Linked DNA regions of Saccharomyces cerevisiae S288C. Changing the gene in region 2 together with the main gene of any one other region gives a genetic interaction. Each region holds a gene or a part of one and is shown on either strand. Other genes may lie near its edges. The genes, in order: PYC2 and ADH4.

Evidence for each region.
Region 1: mutations in ADH4 (region 2) and PYC2 together harm fitness less than expected from each alone (positive genetic interaction), as found in Saccharomyces cerevisiae (2 studies listed by BioGRID).

The regions. Positions count from the first base shown.
Region 1 is NC_001134.8:658,207-664,455, forward strand, and holds PYC2 (pyruvate carboxylase 2), read right to left. Parts: upstream 4,044-6,249; coding exon 501-4,043; downstream 1-500. Other genes in the region: ATG12 (Atg12p), read left to right, coding at 1-186; YBR219C (uncharacterized protein), read right to left, coding at 4,293-4,375, 4,797-5,097; YBR220C (uncharacterized protein), read right to left, coding at 4,789-6,249. UniProt on the Saccharomyces cerevisiae protein: Pyruvate carboxylase catalyzes a 2-step reaction, involving the ATP-dependent carboxylation of the covalently attached biotin in the first step and the transfer of the carboxyl group to pyruvate in the second.
Region 2 is NC_001139.9:13,301-16,944, reverse strand, and holds ADH4 (alcohol dehydrogenase ADH4), read right to left. Parts: upstream 1,787-3,644; coding exon 638-1,786; downstream 1-637. Other genes in the region: alpha-1,3-mannosyltransferase MNT2, read left to right, coding at 2,788-3,644. UniProt on the Saccharomyces cerevisiae protein: Alcohol dehydrogenase specific for ethanol. Acts mainyl as a mitochondrial formaldehyde dehydrogenase and has no effect on ethanol production. Shows drastically reduced activity towards primary alcohols from 4 carbon atoms upward.

The DNA.
Region 1 (6,249 bases), on a different chromosome or scaffold from region 2:
ATGTCACAGTCTTTTGCAATGGTTATTTTATTTCTTAAGAGACGGCTGAAAATGGACCATGTTTATTGTTATATAAATAATTCGTTTGCGCCAAGTCCGCAGCAAAATATTGGTGAACTTTGGATGCAATTCAAGACTAATGATGAGCTTATTGTAAGTTATTGTGCATCCGTAGCGTTTGGTTAAATACCCGGGCGCTGGAATGGTCTAAGAAGAAAACCTACAGTCGATCAAAAATCCCGTACGATATTAAATAGAGTAGTTAACGTACTTGAGCGTTATAAACTCACATTTTCACTCAAGAAGAAAATGGAGAATGGAGACATGGTAAGTGAAAGCATTAAGGAAGAAACACAGTTAGCACGTATTTCATCGAAAGTGTTTGATTACTTTCTATTTGGCATTTAAATATACATGGGAACATAACTAGATAAAATATACGCCATATATAGTACAGCTAGTATTTTCAGATGTCATAAAATATAATTAACGAGTAAAAATTACTTTTTTTGGGATGGGGGTAGGGTTTCTTCTTCTAGGACAACCAACAAATCTGATGCGTCAACACTTTCACCATCCTTAATGAAAACGTCTTTAACTTGACCATCTGCTGGTGAAGAGACAACCATTTCCATTTTCATGGCACTCAAAACAGCAATCGATTCGCCCTTTTTCACCAAAGACCCTTTATGTACTTTAACTTCTATGATAACACCAGCCATTGGTGCACCGATTTGGTGAGTATCGTGGACATCAGCCTTTGGTTTAGCAACAGATTGTATGTTTTGTGACTTGTCTGCAACTCTGATCTTTCTTAATTCACCGTTCAATTCAAAATACACTTCTCTTTGCCCAGTTTTCTTATTTAAGTCACCAACAGCTTGCAATTTGATAATCAAAGTCTTACCTTGTTCGATGGTGACTTCGATTTCTTCATCAGGTTCTGCTGGTGCTAGGAAATTTTTGGTTGGTAGAACTGATAAATCACCGTATGTTTCTCTGATCTTTTGGAAATCTTCATAGACCCTTGGATACATATTGTAAGAAGCAACATCGCATTCATCAATATCACCGAATCTGTTCTGCAAGTCTTCTCTAATTTTTTCGAGATCAAATGGTTCTAATTCTAAACCTGGACGGCACGTCAACTTTCTTCTCTTGTTTCTCAATACATCAGATCTTAATGGTTCTGGGAACCCACCGTATGGTTGACCAATTAAACCTTCAAAAAAGTCCATAACAGAGTCAGGAAAGTCCAAAGAATTAGCTAAACGTCTAATATCGTCGGAAGTCAGTTTGTTAGAAACCATGAATTGAGCTAAATCACCGACAACCTTAGAAGTTGGGGTAACTTTAACAATATCTCCCAGTAGGTAATTGGCTTCTCTGTAAGCTCTTTTAGTTTCAGCCCATTGTTCACCAAGACCCAGTTGTTGAGCTTGGAATAACAAGTTAGTCAATTGACCACCTGGGATTTCATGTTGGTAAACTTCTGGATCTGGTCCCTTCAAGTCGGCCTCGAAACAAGAATACAACAGTCTCATTTCGGCCCAGTATGCATCTAATTCACGAACATGCTCAACGTTAATCCCAGTATCAATGTTACCTTCTAATGAAGCCAACAGTGCATTAATTGATGGTTGGGAAGTTAAGCCCGACATTGAATTGATAGCTACATCGACAACATCAGCACCTGCTAGGGCACATGCAGTCATAGACGCAACAGCAGTACCTGCGGAGTCATGACTGTGAACATGAATTGGTAAATCCGGATATCTGGTTCTTAGGGAGCCAATTAATAATTTGGCAGCGGCCGGTTTCATAGTACCTGCCATATCCTTAATACCCAAGATATGTGTACCCATTTGAACTATTTTTTCAACAACTTCTAGGTAGTAGTCTAAGTTGTATTTCTTACCTGGCTGAAGCATGTCACCAGAGTAACAAACAGTAGCTTCGACAACACCACCGGCCTTCTTGACAGCATTCACACCAACTTTTAATTGTTCTAAATCATTCAAGGCATCAAAAACTCTAAATATATCAACACCATTATCCTTGGCTTGCTTGACAAAATGGTCAATAGCATTGTCAGGTAATGAAGAGTAAGCCACACCGTTGGCACCACGTAATAACATTTGGAATGGAATATTAGGCACCAGAGATCTTAATTTTCTCAGACGTTCCCATGGATCCTCATGCAAGAATCTCATTGCAACGTCGAATGTAGCACCACCCCAACATTCTAAAGCGAAAGCACCTGCAAGGGCATGTGCGGTTGTTGGAGCGATTGTAGCCAAATCGTGGGTTCTGACTCTTGTTGCAAGTAGAGATTGATGAGCGTCTCTCCAGGTGGTGTCCATCAGTAGAGTACCATTGAACTGTCTGACTTGCTTGGCAAATTCAGATGGTCCCTTTTCCAGTAGCACTTGTCTCCATCCGGATGGTGGTGCAGACTTTGTAACGTTGATGACATTGCCCTGAGCATCGTGCAAATGGGGGACACTTGGATTTGATTTTAGTTTTGGCAAGCCAATTTGACCCTTAATAGAAGAACCGTTAACTGCCAAGTCTGCCAAATAGTGTAACAGTTTTTGCGCTCTGTTTTGTGACGATACCATTTGGAACAGTTGTGGGGTGTCGTCAATAAAAGTCGTCCAGTATGTACCCTCAATAAAAACTGGATTGGTCAAAAGAGTCAATAGGAAGGGAATGTTGGTCTTAACACCTCTGATTCTGAATTCGATCAGGGCACGAATCATCTTCCTACGGACGATTTCATAAGTAGAACCAGAGCATGAACATTTGACCAGCATTGAGTCGTAGTGAGGCGAGATAGTAGCACCTGCATAAGCGTTACCACCGTCCAATCTCACACCATTACCACCGGCAGAACGATAGACCTCCAGGCGACCGGTATCCGGTTGGAAATTCTTAGAGGGATCTTCAGTGGTAATACGACATTGGATGGAAAACCCACGGGTGGTGATTTTATCCTGTAATAGACCTAGTTGAGTCAAAGTGGCACCTGCGGCAATCTGGATTTGGGCAGAAACAATGTCAATACCGGTGATTTCTTCAGTGATGGTATGCTCCACTTGAATTCTTGGATTAATTTCAATGAAATAGTGTCTGTTTTGGTTGTCAACCAAGAATTCGGCGGTACCTGCGTTTCTGTAACCACATACCTTAGCTAATTTAACAGCATCTGTCAAAATAGCGTCACGAACTTCACGGGGCAAAGTCTTTGCTGGAGCGACTTCGACAACTTTTTGGTGTCTTCTTTGCACAGAACAGTCTCTTTCGAAAAGATGAACCACGTTTCCGTGGTTATCAGCCAACAATTGAACTTCAATATGCTTTGGCTTGTCCAAGAATCTTTCCACAAAGCAGGTACCATTACCGAAGGCAGTACGGGCTTCGGAGGTAGCACGTTGAAAGGCATCTGCCACGTCGTCACCTTCTCTAACGACTCTCATACCTCTACCACCACCACCAAAGGCGGCCTTAATGATCACCGGGTAGCCGTATTCATTAACGAAGTCAAGTGCCTCTTGCACAGTTTCGATAGGTCCTGGAGTACCGGGAACGGTAGGAACGTTAGCTCTTGCTGCCAAGTGTCTGGCAGAGACTTTGTCACCCACAGAGTCAATAACTTCAGCTGGAGGGCCGATCCAAGTGATACCGGCCTTCACTACTTTGTCGGCAAATTCCGAATTTTCAGACAAGAACCCATAACCTGGATGGATGAAATCCACCTTATGCTTCTTTGCAATTTCGATGATCTCGTCCATTGCCAAGTAAGCACCCACAGGTGTATACTGGCCCTCCTCCCCGATAACATACGCTTCGTCCGCCTTCAACCTGTGCATTGAAAGACGGTCCTCATGGGAGTATATGGCGATGGTTCTCATAGACAGCTCATGAGCAGATCTAAAAATTCTAATCGGAATTTCACCTCTATTGGCGACCAAGATCTTATTCTTTTCGCCGAGCAAACTGAAATTGTCCCTAAGACCGGCCAATTTCTTGCTACTGCTCATATTTTATTTTGTTCTCTATGTCCCTTATTTTCTCTCCTAGTAACTGTCCTTTATTTTGCAATATAGTAATTGGCAAAAAAATCAAACTCAAATGACGGGCCACAGATAGTAAGCTACAAGAGTTTGGAAGAAAAGAGGGGCTTGTTTATGTATGTAATCAAGTAAGGATACCGAAAGTAAGAGAAAAGAAAAAAGGACTAAAAATCACAGAAACACAATAGGAAATATCCGATGGGGAGTACTTCTTACTTAACACTCCCTGCGCCAATTCTGACTCTTATAATAAATAGCTCGAGACGTAACTGCCAAAATTGTAAAAAAAAAATGAAAAACTATTAGAAAATTAATTGCGAAAAAAAAAAGGTTAGTCATATGTGCCTTTGCGGCGTCTTCCGCAGGAAGGACCCCTCTCTGCCAATCACAGAAGAGCTGGCTGTGCCTGTGCGGTACGCTATCAGCAGCTGCGTCGGGTAAGGGACACGTCGTTAGTGACAATCGTGGTTAGTTTTCGTACAGAAAGATGACCTTAATTGATAATTAAAGTATAGAAATGTCGTATAGTATATTTTTCCCTTGCATGGAAAAAACTGGGATAATGTGATGATTCTCATTAACAGATTTACACTGGTATTGATACTCATTTTGTTTCTGCTTCCTGTAGTACATAAAAAGATCTTGTAAATATTACGATACTCGTTAAAATTTTCTTGAACGTAATGTCGTACAATTCTTGTTTGAGGGGTCGTTACGTACATCTCCAGGAACTGATTGGCAGACTTTGTAAATGGAGGATTTTCCTTTTCAAATATCCAAAATATAGGAAAAGTCCGACTACAATACATATGAGATTGGTGATGTAATAGCCGTCACGCAGGATGGTCACGGTGCCATTCAAAAGCTCGGTGCACGCTTGCATGCTGCCGCCGTGAGTTACGTATACTTTATTTGTGCCAGGAATAGTGCACTGATACACGGTGAAGTAGTTGATCATGGACATAATGATTAACCGCGGCCATGTCCCACCGAAGTTGCTGAGGGTATTTAACAATGTCATATATGTGCCACCCAGCACGGGGTCTGCAACTCTTGTATGGAAGGCCGATATTCCAATGAACTGGACAGTATTCATGAAGGAACCTAAGAGGTGCTGGAATATCACGAGACAAAAATAACCCGTGGATATTTCACCATCCTTGGGGAATTGCTTCACCACGTAACTTCCCAAGACCGCGGCTGCCAGACGGCCCAAAAAGCCCCACAACCATGGTGTTAAAACGCCGGCATCCCCAACTAAGAACTTGATGACCTTGTTGGTGCCCGTGCTGTTTCTTAATCTTCTATTGTCACGAATCATGGGGTCCTTGTCGGAGCTCCATTTAACAACATAGTACCCAAATATGATTTCGAACGGCAGGTCTATGAGTACTGTCACAGCCAAGTCTTCTCTTTTGAAGCCTTGCTCTAGTAGTTTCAGGTTTGTGGCGGCTTCGTTGCATTGAAAGGCAAATTTCGAAATCATGTGAATGAAGGCTAGGCTTCTTACGGACTTCAATTTCAACACTTTTATAAAGCAGCGGTAAATGTACTTTATACTGCTTGTATTCTGAGTTGACACCACATCACCGTCGTCATACTCAATACTTATCGGCTTTGACCCTCCGTCACTTGTATTTATGGGCTCCACTTTGGGCAAATACTCTACGTAGGGTTTTTCCTTGGTGCAAAAGATGATATATATGGTTATTACAATGTAAAGCATGCCCGAGAATTTCATGTACCCACCAAGACTAATGAACCCGTGATCCAGTGGGATGTTTCTGAAATACTTATTGGCGAAATCAGAGGAATTCAACGACAGGAAAATGGTAAATGACATAAAATAACCAATATTCAAACCTATTGTTTGCGCGGTAGATGCATATGATAGGGATTCTTTGGACAAAATCGTCAACGCCCAACCATCAACTGCGATGTCTTGAGTGGCACACAGAAAAACTAACAGGCCAAACCACCACGTCAAATTTTTTATACTGACACTGTGTAAAGTGCCATTACCGCGATTATGGAACGCATCGTCGACACCATCGAAGATTATGCCTTGTGATATGCACCACCCTAATGCCCATAGCACAAATCCACTAACAAATTGTACTGGAATGATCCATGATCTTCTTCTACCGATGCGCTTGTTGTACAGTGAGTCTAC
Region 2 (3,644 bases):
GCGGCTGGTAAGGTTACATTGCCGTTGTGTTTCGAGGTTATAATAAAGACAGCTATATCATAAAACGAATAAAAAAATATGCGCATGTGAATGACACACGAAAGTAATCGGATTGACGTTGCTTATAACAGGTTGAAAATTAGAGATATCAAACCAAAAAAAGGAAGACAATATCATTGACAGAATTCAGTGTGGCGGTGGATTGATTTAGATTGACTCAAAATTTTCGACATTGTCTGGTTGACGATGCCTTGTTTAATTGCAAAAGGCCTTCGAATTTCATTTTATTTCTTGCATCCAACTGAAACCCACCATATTAAAGCATGACTTTTGCATGACTATTTTTCAGTCTTAAATGCTTCAAAGCCAACAGTATGTCAGTAATTAAGTCCAAACTATTTTCAACAAACGTACCGGTCTCGGCTCATTAATAGAACTTCCGTTCTTCTTTTTTCAATTTAAAACAACGTAGATATATATTTTCATTGTTATATACTCGAAATTAACGTAATTATATAGATCGTGAAAAGTTAAAAAAATCATTTGATTGGTAAATAAATAAGTGCATTATACTGTACGCACAACTAAATAAATAAGGCACACGCATAATTGACGTTTATGAGTTCGTTCGATTTTTTTAATATTCATAGGCTTTCTTGATAATGGCAACCACTTGTTCTTTGGTGAATTGAACTGGGTTAGTCAAATGGCAGGCATCATGCATGGCGTGTTCAGCCAAAATTTCAAAATCTTCGGTTTTAACACCTAATTCTTTCAAGTTTCTTGGAATGTTCATGGTTCTGTTTAAAACGTGCAAAGCCTTGATGGTTTCTTCTGGATCTTCTTGAGAAGCACCGAAATGCAAAGCAATTTCACCTAATCTCTTCTTGGCCTTTGGACATTGCATGTTGGCCTCTTGAACATGAGGCAACAAGACAGCGTTACAAACACCATGAGGCAAGTGGTAGAAACCACCAAGTTGATGAGCAAGGGCATGAACATAACCTAGAGAAGCATTGTTGAAAGCCATACCTGCCAAGTATTCAGCGTAACACATGTCAGTTCTGGCCTTCTTGTCTTTACCGTCTTTGTATGCAGCGACTAAGCTTTCATTGATCAAATCAATACCCTTCAAAGCACAGGCATCGGTGATTGGGTTAGAGGCGGTGGAAACATAAGCTTCGATACAGTGAGTCAAAGCATCTAGACCAGTAGCAGCAGTCAAAGCAGGTGGCAAACCAAACATGGTAGATGGATCGTTGACAGCAACAGCTGGAGTGACGTTGTTGTCAATGATAGCCATCTTGATTTTCTTTTCTTCATTAGAGATAATAGTGAATCTGGTCATTTCGGAAGCAGTACCAGCAGTAGTGTTGATGGCAAATAGTGGTAAAGCAGCCTTCTTAGATTGATTGACACCTTCATAGTCTCCGATTTCCCCACCGTTAGTAGCCAATAAAGCAATGGCCTTAGCATTGTCGTGAGCAGAACCACCACCAATGGAAACAACAATTTCAGAGTTTTGTTCCTTCAAAACCTTCAAACCAGCTGTGACATTGGCAATATTTGGGTTTGGTTGAGTTTTGTCATAGATAGCAACGTTTAAGTCACGTTCTTCCAACATCTTTTGGACTCTACCGGAGAGACCAATAGCTGCAATACCAGGATCAGTAACGATCAAAGCCTTTTTGTAATCCTTGTTTTTGATGTAATCAGCGGTTTCTTCTAAAGCACCTTCACCAAAGAAAGAGATTGGTGGAATGTAAAACCCAGTAACGGAAGACATTTTTCTTATTTGACTATTAGTTGTTGCAAATGTAAACTTGTTGTTGATGGTTGTTTTGCAATAGACAGAAGAAAAACGTTTGACTCCAGTCTTTAATAAACCAGAAATGCTAATAACCCTTTTATACATGTTGGTACGCTGCCCTTTTTTCCTGTTTGATAAAAGAATATATCCTAGTAGTGTGAGATATTTGAGGCAGCAAAATATCAATTGCTTTGTAGAGTTAACGGCATACGTGATCCCAAGCATCTGACATATTAAACACGTACCTCGTGATGCGCGAACTAAAAACTAGTTCTTTTTTTTTTTTTTCATAGCTAATCCACTGCGGTGATACTACAGCCATCATCACAAACACTGCTAACAGTTATAACCATGTCAACATCACACTACAAAAAATGGCCTCCTTGGAGAAAATAAAATGGAAGCTCATTGAAGGCCTCCGGGGATCCTTCTGAACACAAAACGCAATTTCAAATCAGCAGCCTCAATTATACTGGTTGCTTAACCGTGAAGGTTCATTTAAGTACTTCTACTTTTTACAAACGCTCGATAACCTTTCAAGTAGTGCGCATAACAGCTGATGCATTAGAAAAAAATTTTCACACGATAGAACTGTAACGCACTACGAAACTAAGCAATATGGCGTAAACACACAAAGACTAAGGGACTTCTTGATTGATTTCTATCAGCAGCGTTCTCCGAATTGTAAATAATAAGTACATTATTAGTGGGCCTTAGGCAACTCTTTGAAACGGAAATTCTTGTTTACATTTTTCATTTTCCCGAGACGAAGTTTTGATGAGCCACACAATACCGGTAAAGAAAGAAAGAAGTACCTGGAACTAAAACAGTGCTAATTCTTCTTTCCTTTACTTTAGGGGTGGGGACCATCGAAGTGGGGGGAGACAGCAAATCTCTCAATTGAGTAAAATATTCGCATGAGTGTTTGCAAATCCGCAGTGACAGGACAAAAGTAGCCCCAATAGTATTTATCGAATATGAGAAGAAAAAATCGACTGTTTATATTAGTTGTACTACTGGGAATTGTGTTAGTAGTATATTACTCTCAGTTGAATTCGTTAGATTTGGTAGAACCAGTTCAAAGTAGCAGCAGTGGCAATGGTGGCTGCTGGAGTTACTATGAAGGTCTTACGCCTGGGTGGTTGAATGACTTCTACGACGTAAATCAAATAACCCCGAATCCTGCAAAAGATGTGATTGAACTGGTTACGAGGATTAAGATTTTTTTTAATTGCTTGCAGCAGGTTGATGGGCATAATATTCAGCGTTTGAGGGATATTGAAAAGAAGCTCTTTCCGTATATTAACTTTGAAAAATTAGAAACTGATGAAAGTGCCTTCTGGCACACAACTACGAGATGGAATGGCGAGGTTTACCATGCGTCTATGTTGGAATTTGACCCCAAAAACCATCAATTCCTTCGTTCTAAGCCCATCAATTTCGATACAGGGCTATCTTTTTGGGAGAATTGGTTGCACACTGTGACTCAAAGTGGTTCGAAAGGCATAGTTATTAGTGCTTCTGACGTGCAGTTGAATGAAACCATACGCTTATTGAAAGTGTTGAGGTTCATCAAAAATGATTATCCTATACAGATTGTTCATAATGCAGATCTGAGTCAAGATTCCATGAAATCTATTATCAAATATGCGAGAAGTCTAGACACCGCTGAATATCCTGCTCAAGAATTATGGTTTTTAAATGTACATAGTCTGCTAAACCCGAAATATTCGAAAAAATTTACCACCTATTCCAACAAGTGGTTAGCATTGACCTTCTCATCCTTTGAAATTCCTATTCTAATGGACTCAGATACAGTGCCCTTTGTTTCAAT